Macaca fascicularis: one gene and its partner. The protein of the gene in region 2 binds, or shares a complex with, the protein of the main gene of each other region. Links are inferred from orthologs where the notes say so. Each region holds a gene or a part of one and is shown on either strand. Other genes may lie near its edges.

Region 1 (4,087 bases), on a different chromosome or scaffold from region 2:
CCTGTAATCCCAGCACTATGGGAGGCCGAGGCAGGCAGATTGCTTAAGTTCAAGAGTTTGAGACCAGCCTGGGCAACATGGTGAAACCCTGCATCTACAAAACACACACACACACACACACACACAGAGACACAATTAGCTGAACGTGGTGGTGCATGCCTGTAGTCCCAGCTACTCGGGGAGCTGAGGTGAGAGGATCACCTGAGCCAGGGAAGTTAAGGCTACAGTGAGCCATGATGGCACCACTACACTACAGCCTAGGTGACAAAGTGAGACCTTGTTTCAAAAAAAGAAAAAAGAAAGACAAAGCACCCAATGATTATCAAATGCTGGTTAACAGGTCAAGTGGTGGATTTGCTAACATGGCAGTCCTTGGTTACCATGACAAGAACAGTTCCAGCAGAACAAGTAAGAGAAAGAATGAAAGGTGAGAAAGTAAAACAGAGTAAGCATAGATAAATCTTCCTAGGTATTTTGTTGTAAAGGGAAGCAGAGTAATAAGATAATAGCTGAATGGGGACATTGGTTCATGGAAGTTTTCCTAGGATTAGCAAAAGTACATTATGTTTATATGCTAACATGAATGATTCAGGAGAGATGGAAAAATTGAAGACTCGAGAGAAAGGGTATGTCACTGCCAAAGTAACCTTCTTAAGTTGGCAGCAGGGGATGGAATACAGAGGAAAAGTGGAAGTATTGGCCTTAGAAAAAGGAAAGAACAATTCATCTCTTATGAACGAACAGAAAGAAAAGTACAAGGATAAATTATGTAGCCTTGTGGTTTTGCTGGTGAGGCAATAAAGCAGCTCTCTTTTGGATTCTATTTTCTTAGGGAAGCAAGGTTATAAACTGACAAGGTGGGAAGAGAGTGTTAGAAAATTACCAAGAAAGAAAACAAGAAACAGTCATTTAAAGATTGACAAAGTGATTTTATTAGGAACTACGGTAGAACTTCAGGGGAGCCTACTTGACAGCAGTGGTTAAAAATTTTAAGAACAGCCCACACTGCTATCTATCTTTTCTAGGTCCATTACACAAGAGATAGCTGTCATGTACCCAGGTACTCTCCTTCCTATTTCCCAGTCAAATACTACCAAATCCTTCATCCAGTCCTCCTGAGCCATGGTTTCTAAGATTCATACATCTTGGTCACCTTTCTCTGGTCCAGTTAACAAATCTACCAGTATCTTTCTTGAAATGCTGTGCCACAAACAGAATGGCCCTTGGTACATAAAACAGTGGATTATTACCTTAGCCATTTTAGACACCATAACATATGTATATTACATAAACTGGCAGATGTGGCTAACATTAAGCTCTAATCAAAAGCTATACTATTTCCTGCCCTTGCGTTGAAATACAACATACCTGACTTAAATACCTAACATCTAGTCCAATTCGTAAATCATATGTGAACTGCTTTTCCAAATCATGCTAGCTCACAGCAACCTTTTCTTTTCTGGGGGGCTTATTATCTGGGGGGCTTATTATTTGCACCGCTTATTTGGCATTGCTTCAAGCTATCTGTTGTTTTTCTTTTGCTTATGTCTCATTTCTCCAGTTGGAATGTCAGCACTAAAAGTGGTAAGTATAGCACTAGAACAAAAACTAGTGTGTAAGCATATATATATATATATATAAAATATTTATTAGCTGACTTCCCAGTATTTTTCCCTATGGCTTCAGAAACTCTTTTAAAAAGTACATACTTTCATTCCTACATTTGTTTTTTTTTGGAGACCGAGTCTCACTCTGTCGCCCAGGCTGAAGTGCAATGGCACAATCTCAGTTCACTGCAACCTCCGCCTCCTGGGTTCAAGCAATTCTCCTGCCTCAGCCTCCCGAGTAGCTGAGACTACAGGCGCATCACGCCTGGCTAATTTTTGTATTTTTAGTAGAGACGGGGTTTACTATGTTGGCCAGGCTGGTCTCGAACTCCTGACCTCAGGTGATCTGCCAACCTCGGCCTCTCAAAGTGTTAGGATTACAGGCATGAGCCACTGCACCCAGCCTATTCCTAAAATTCTTATAAAAATTTACACTCTATACTTAAAATTATTTCATACATACTTGGTGGGTCAGCATTTTCGTCTCCAGTAGTATCCGAAGTTGACAACAGCTATGAAACAAGAGAAAAGTTAATAGGTAAAATCAGATATCCCCAACAATCTGAAAGGAACAACACTAAAGTAAGTTTATGTTAAGTATATGTATATATTCTATTGAGAACTGAGTGATTTATGAGCTTTACTTTGCTTTCTTTCACCCTAATCACATAGATTTCCTTAAATTTCATGTTATCCCAAATTAGAATTCAAGTATTTCTCTAGTTTCAGGAAAGTAGAAAAATGTATCAGTGGTTTCTCATTCCATTAGGAAAATAAGATTTTAACTGGGTTACTCTCAAAGGGTCTCAGAGCCTAACAAGTTATTTTTTGTTTGTTTTTCTGGAAAACAGCAAAGAGACACTAAACCTCCTTCTCTAATCCCATCACAAATTTGTACAGTGGCAGCATAAATGATTTTTCAAAATAGTAAAAACAAACAACAATCTTTTTAAAAAGCCCTAAACAATCAAGTTGATTACAAAAGTAAAAATCAAAGTTGTCATTAACATCAATGAAAATATGTACCTACAATTAATAAAAGAGAAATAAGTATAACTTCTAATACAGGTTGGTACAAAAGTGGTCACGGTTTTGGTCATGATTTTCAATGGCAAAAACCATGATTACTTTTGCACCAATCTAATAGTATTTTTATTATAAAGCAGAATTCAAAGTTGTTGATTTTAAAAATATATTTACCTGTTCAAGAAGATGAGGATATCTACCTTGAATCTCATCAACAAACTCTTGACCTTTCATTCGTATCAAGAACTCACACCTAAAACATATGAGGAAAATTATTTTTTAAAATTGTTCCATATCAATATAACCTGACCATTCTAGAAAAAATGGCTTTCAAATCTTTCATTGTACCCCACAGTAAAAACATTTTACATCACAACCCAGAACACATACATATCTAACGGGAACAAAATTATCATAAAACAATATACATCTTACTGTGTGTTATATATCATGGTATTTTCTTTTTTTTTTTTTTTTTTTTTTTTTTTTTTTTTTTTTTGAGACAGAGTCTTGCTCTGTCACCCAGGCTGGGGTGCAGTGGCCGGATCTCAGCTCACTGCAAGCTCTGCCTCTCGGGTTTAGACCATTCTCCTGCCTCAGCCTCCCGAGTAGCTGGGACTACAGGCGCCCGCCACCTCGCCCGGCTAGTTTTTTGTATTTTTTTAGTAGAGACGGGGTTTCACCGTGTTAGCCAGGATGGTCTCGATCTCCTGACCTCGTGATCCGCCCGTCTCGGCCTCCAAAGTGCTGGGATTACAGGCTTGAGCCACCGCGCCCGGCCAATATATCATGGTATTTTCTAATTCAATCCATTAACACAACAACAACAAAAAGAAAAGCGTCTGCACCTACAAAGGGGAACAAGTTGACTCCCAAAAAACACTATTATACACAATTTATTTTGTGCTTAAAGTGAACTACTTAACAGTTTCAGATACTATTAACTTAGTATTCCTACAACATGATCTTTCACAATATAACTGCTCATCTTTCTTCAATGTTCACTCTTCCATTACATTTGAGCCACAATCCACTACCTTCCCTCCAAAAAATATGGAATCAAATATTTTTATCTATATATAATGTGACAGTGTTTCTCAAGTATTTGTTTTTAAACTGATAGGGCTTCTTGAAGATGTTCCAAGAAGTTCACATACCATCTATATCCATTCTACTCCTTTTGTTTCTTCAACAAATGATACTCTACAACAGGATATACGTATTTAAAAAACAAAAAACTCTGACCTATGCCCATATTATATGCAAAAATAGCAAAAATAAAAGTAAAAATAGATCATATACCTAAATATAAAACCTAAAATAATAAAACTTCTAGGAAAAAGTACAGGAGAAAAATACTTTTGTCTTTACATTAGGTAAAGAATTATTAGACAAAAGACCAAAAACATCTTCTACAAAAGATAAAATTGATAAACTGACATCATCAACATTGA
Region 2 (3,979 bases):
TTCCTTATTTCCAAAATACCACACCTACCCACATACCCCACAATGCACCATATTAAAAAGCAAAAACAAAACGAAGCAAACAAAAAAACCCCACTACCTATTTTAGTTCTCTTTCAAGCAGTAGGGTTTTTTAAAAAAATCTCATTTAGCTGGGTGCAGTGGCTCACGCCTGTAATCCCAGTATTTTGGGAGGCAGAGGTGGGCAGATCACGAGATCAGGAGATCAAGACCATCCTGGCTAACATGGTGAAACCCCGTTTCTACTAAAAATACAAAAAATTAGCCGGGCATGGTGGCGGGCACCTGCAGTCCCAGCTACTTGGGAGGCTGAGGCAGGAGAATGGCATGAACCTGGGAGGCGGAGCTTGCAGTGAGCCGAGATCGGGCCACTGCACTCCAGCCTGGGCGACAGAGCGAGACTCCGTCTCAAAAAAAAAAAAAAAAAAAAATTCTCATTTAGGACCTCAGCCAGAAACAGTAGGCAGCTAATAAAGTAGAAGAAAGGGCCAATGACACACAAAGGAATGAACAAACTTTCATGACTTTTCTTTTGTAATGCCCATTCACTTGTCTGAGTGCCTCTGGCTGCCTGTTTATGCTAGATGACATGGCCCCACAACACCCCACTCCCTAAAGCTGAGTTGGCATTGGAGTGTACTAATGACACTCTAGTGAGAATTGGAGTGGGCCTGGGAAAGCCTCTGGCCATCGGATGATCGAGGTGCAGGCCAAGGTCAGAGAATGTGTGCAAGGTCTGGCATGGTGGTTCACGCCTCTAATCTCAGCACTTTGGGAGGCCGAGGTGGGCGGACCACTTGAGGCCAGGAGTTTGAGATCAGCCTGGCCAACTTGGTGAAATGCCATCTCTACTAAAAATATAAAATTGGCTGGGCGCGGTGGCTCACGTCTGTAATCCCAGCACTTTGGGAGGCTGAGGTGGGCAGATCACCTGAGGTCAGGAGTTCAAGACCAGCCTGGCCAACATGGTGAAACCCTGTCTCTACTAAAAATGCAAAAATTAACTAGGCGTGGTGGCATGTGCCTGTAGTCCCAGCTACTCGGGAGGCCGAGGCAGGATAATCGCTCGAACCCGGGAAGCAGAGGTTGCAGTGAGCCAAGATCGCGCCATTGCACTCCAGCCTGGGTGACAGCAAGACTGTGTCACAAAAAAAAAAAAAAAAAATTATCTGGGTGTGGTGGTGCACGCCTGTAATCCCAAGTACTTGGGAGGCTGAGACATGAGAACTGCTTGAATCTGGGAGGCGAAGGTTGCAGTGAGCCGAGATCGCGCCACTGTACTCCAACCTGGGTGAAAGAGCGAGACCTTGTCTCAAATTTTAAAAAAAAAAAAAAAAAGGAAAAAAAGAACGTGTGCAGCTATCAGTCTGTGGCTGAATGGCCAGCTAAATGGGCAAGTAGATTCAAGGAAATAATTTAAGAGGTCATAAAACACTTACCTCATGCCAACAACTGTACATGATGGTATATACCTTCTCTGAAGCCAGATGAGGCCTGTAGAGACGTAGGCCTTGGGCAATGTGTTCAGCAGTCTCACTGTTAGTAAATCTCTCATATGGCATCTTCCCCAGGGAGTAAATTTCCCACATCAAAACTCCTAGAAGACGAAAAAAAGTGTTAAATTAGTTTGCAGTCTTTTTGGATAGCAGGGGGTCCTAGTCTTCCTAGATCAACCTCAAAGATTAGAATCAGTTGGTTCCCCACTCTGTGCTTTTTACATTTTGCCCAAATTTCTGCTATAGTGCTGACCACACTAGATGGAGATCAGGGTCGTACTAGACTATTAACTCCTCTAGAAGAGAGACAGCATCTTATTTGTCTTTGTAGTTATAGGGTCTGGCAGAGTGCCTGGTACATAATCAGTATTCAGAAGCTGTCAAAAACTGAATGAATTGTTTTATTTAACATGGTTTAAGTTCTAAAAAGACAGAGATCATGTCCAGTTTAGTTTTTATCCTCAGAAACCCCTGGGGTGGCTGACACACAGTAAGCACTCCCCAAGGATTAGATGAATGAAAGCAAGAACAATCTCTCTGTGGAGGTTGCAAAGTGTGAATTTTCCCATTGCATTTCTTTTCCTTTGAGCTGTATAATCTATGTAATCTTATCCACTTACCAAAAGCCCAAATGTCAGATTTGCTGCTGAACTTGCTATACATCAGGACTTCCGGTGGGGACCACCGGACTGGAAATTTGGAGCCTACTGAGCTGGTGTATTCATCATCCAGGACATACCTGCAAGGGATCCAGGACTTGTTGTCATTAGGATTTGGAGAGCTTGGTATTTGCTTACGTTTTCTTGGCGCGGTCACAAGAGTGTTACAAACACACACTTACAGGCTTTCTCAAAAGTCTATCCTTCTCAACTAGTATCTTCTACAAATGTTACTTTTAACGAATTTCCTGTTTTTGTATCTGATTGAGCTTTCCTGATTGACAATATGGTTACAAGAAGGATGATGTGAAATAAGATCTAGTAGGTACTCCCTTCCTCTTCTCTATACTTTTCCTTTCTCTACTCTTCTCCTTCCCTTCCTTTTATCTGCAGTTGTCACTGGGAATTTGATTAAGAAAAAAGGAGGAATGGAATAAAGTCATCAGGATTAATAGATCGAGATAAGGTATTGGGGAAATAGCTAAAAAAAAAAAAGAGGAGGTAGAGATAAAGGGAGAAAGGGAGGAAAGGGATATGATGATAAAACAAAAGGATGAAAGAGGTGGCTTAAATAACTCAGAGGAAGAAAAAGAATAGAAAGATAGGCAGAAAACACTAGAATGAGAGAAAAAAAAAAAAGAAAAGGAGAGGATTAAAACTATAACACCTACCCATGTTTCATACTGTGCTATTTTTACTTCTGGAGGGAAAGATGAAAAAGGCACACTCACCTGGACAGGCCGAAATCAGATACTTTAACAACTCCTTGATCGTTTACCAAACAGTTTCGAGCTGCCTGTAGTGCAAACAGATACCAGTGAGACTCCGTCCCCAGCACAGAGGTTAAAGGCACAAAGCTTCTGCTGACCAGTAGAATGAAGGCAGGGAAGCCTCATCTCCTTCGACTACAGACACCTTCCCACCTAATAGGAATCTGTTGATGCCACCAAGAAATTTTGATTCATTTCCACCATGTGGAAAGCAACCTGCTGTGCAGTCCTAGGTAAAGCACTGAGGACATACAGAACGATTGCATTCTCATGGGCAATTCCATACCACCCCATTCCCTCACTGGTATGCTGAAAGAATTAAGGGAGAGGCTGAGTGCAGTGGCTCATGCCTGTAATCCCAACACTTTGGGAGGCCGAGGTGGGTGGATCACCTGAGGTCAGGAGTTCGAGACCAGTCTGGCCAACATGGCGATACCCCGCCTCTACTAAAAATACAAAAATTAGCTGGGCATGGTGGCGGGTGCCTGTGATCCCAACTACTCGGGAGGCTGAGGCTGGAGAATCACTTGAACCTGGGAGGCGGAGGTTGCAGTGAGCTGAGATGGCGCCACTGTACTACAGCCTGGGTGACAGAGCGAGACTCCATCTCGAAAAGAAAAAAAAAAAAGGAGAATGAGAAGTAAGTTTGTTTTGCTTTCTGCTTTTCTGCCAATGAGACTAGGACAATTTGAGCCTTGGCCTGACCGAAACAGGGACGCAAACTCTGATGCTTACAGGGGCCAGGCAAGTTAAGCAAGAGTGAAGTGAAGTGGATGGAGATTGCAGGAAATGGAGACTACACGCCTGGTCTAAAGGAAAGGAAGTGGTTTGTGAGAATGTGGACCTGGTATTTCCAGATGGTCTAGATTTTCAAGAGAAGCTGGAAATTCCAGGGTGTTTTTTTTTTTTTAAGTGAAATGTTTCTTTTTAAGGGTTTGCTAATTATTATATAACATTAAAAAAACAAACAAACAAAAACACATGTGGGCCAAATACATCCACAGGCCCAAGTATGTGACTCTGAAGGAACCAAATG

What was found. The genes of interacting proteins can lie anywhere in the genome.
Region 1: the proteins of BTK (region 2) and BIRC2 are in contact, whole or in part, in a crystal structure (PDB 6W7O), measured with the Homo sapiens proteins. The link is inferred for Macaca fascicularis from reciprocal best matches to the Homo sapiens genes BTK and BIRC2. Residues at the interface, in NP_000052.1 of Homo sapiens: Leu483, Asn484, Arg487, Glu488, Tyr551, Ser557, Lys558, Arg562, Lys595, Met596, Tyr598, Glu599, Arg600, Phe601, Thr602, Glu605; in NP_001157.1 of Homo sapiens: Pro280, Ser281, Ser282, Asn301, Asp302, Asp303, Arg314, Cys315, Glu317, Ser318.

What each region holds. Positions count from the first base shown.
Region 1 is NC_088388.1:101,372,217-101,376,303, reverse strand, and holds part of BIRC2 (baculoviral IAP repeat-containing protein 2), read right to left. Parts: intron 2,887-4,087; coding exon 2,808-2,886; intron 2,120-2,807; coding exon 2,071-2,119; intron 1-2,070. UniProt on the Homo sapiens protein: Multi-functional protein which regulates not only caspases and apoptosis, but also modulates inflammatory signaling and immunity, mitogenic kinase signaling, and cell proliferation, as well as cell invasion and metastasis.
Region 2 is NC_088395.1:108,022,317-108,026,295, forward strand, and holds part of BTK (tyrosine-protein kinase BTK), read right to left. Parts: intron 2,970-3,979; coding exon 2,905-2,969; intron 2,254-2,904; coding exon 2,135-2,253; intron 1,616-2,134; coding exon 1,458-1,615; intron 1-1,457. UniProt on the Homo sapiens protein: Non-receptor tyrosine kinase indispensable for B lymphocyte development, differentiation and signaling. Binding of antigen to the B-cell antigen receptor (BCR) triggers signaling that ultimately leads to B-cell activation.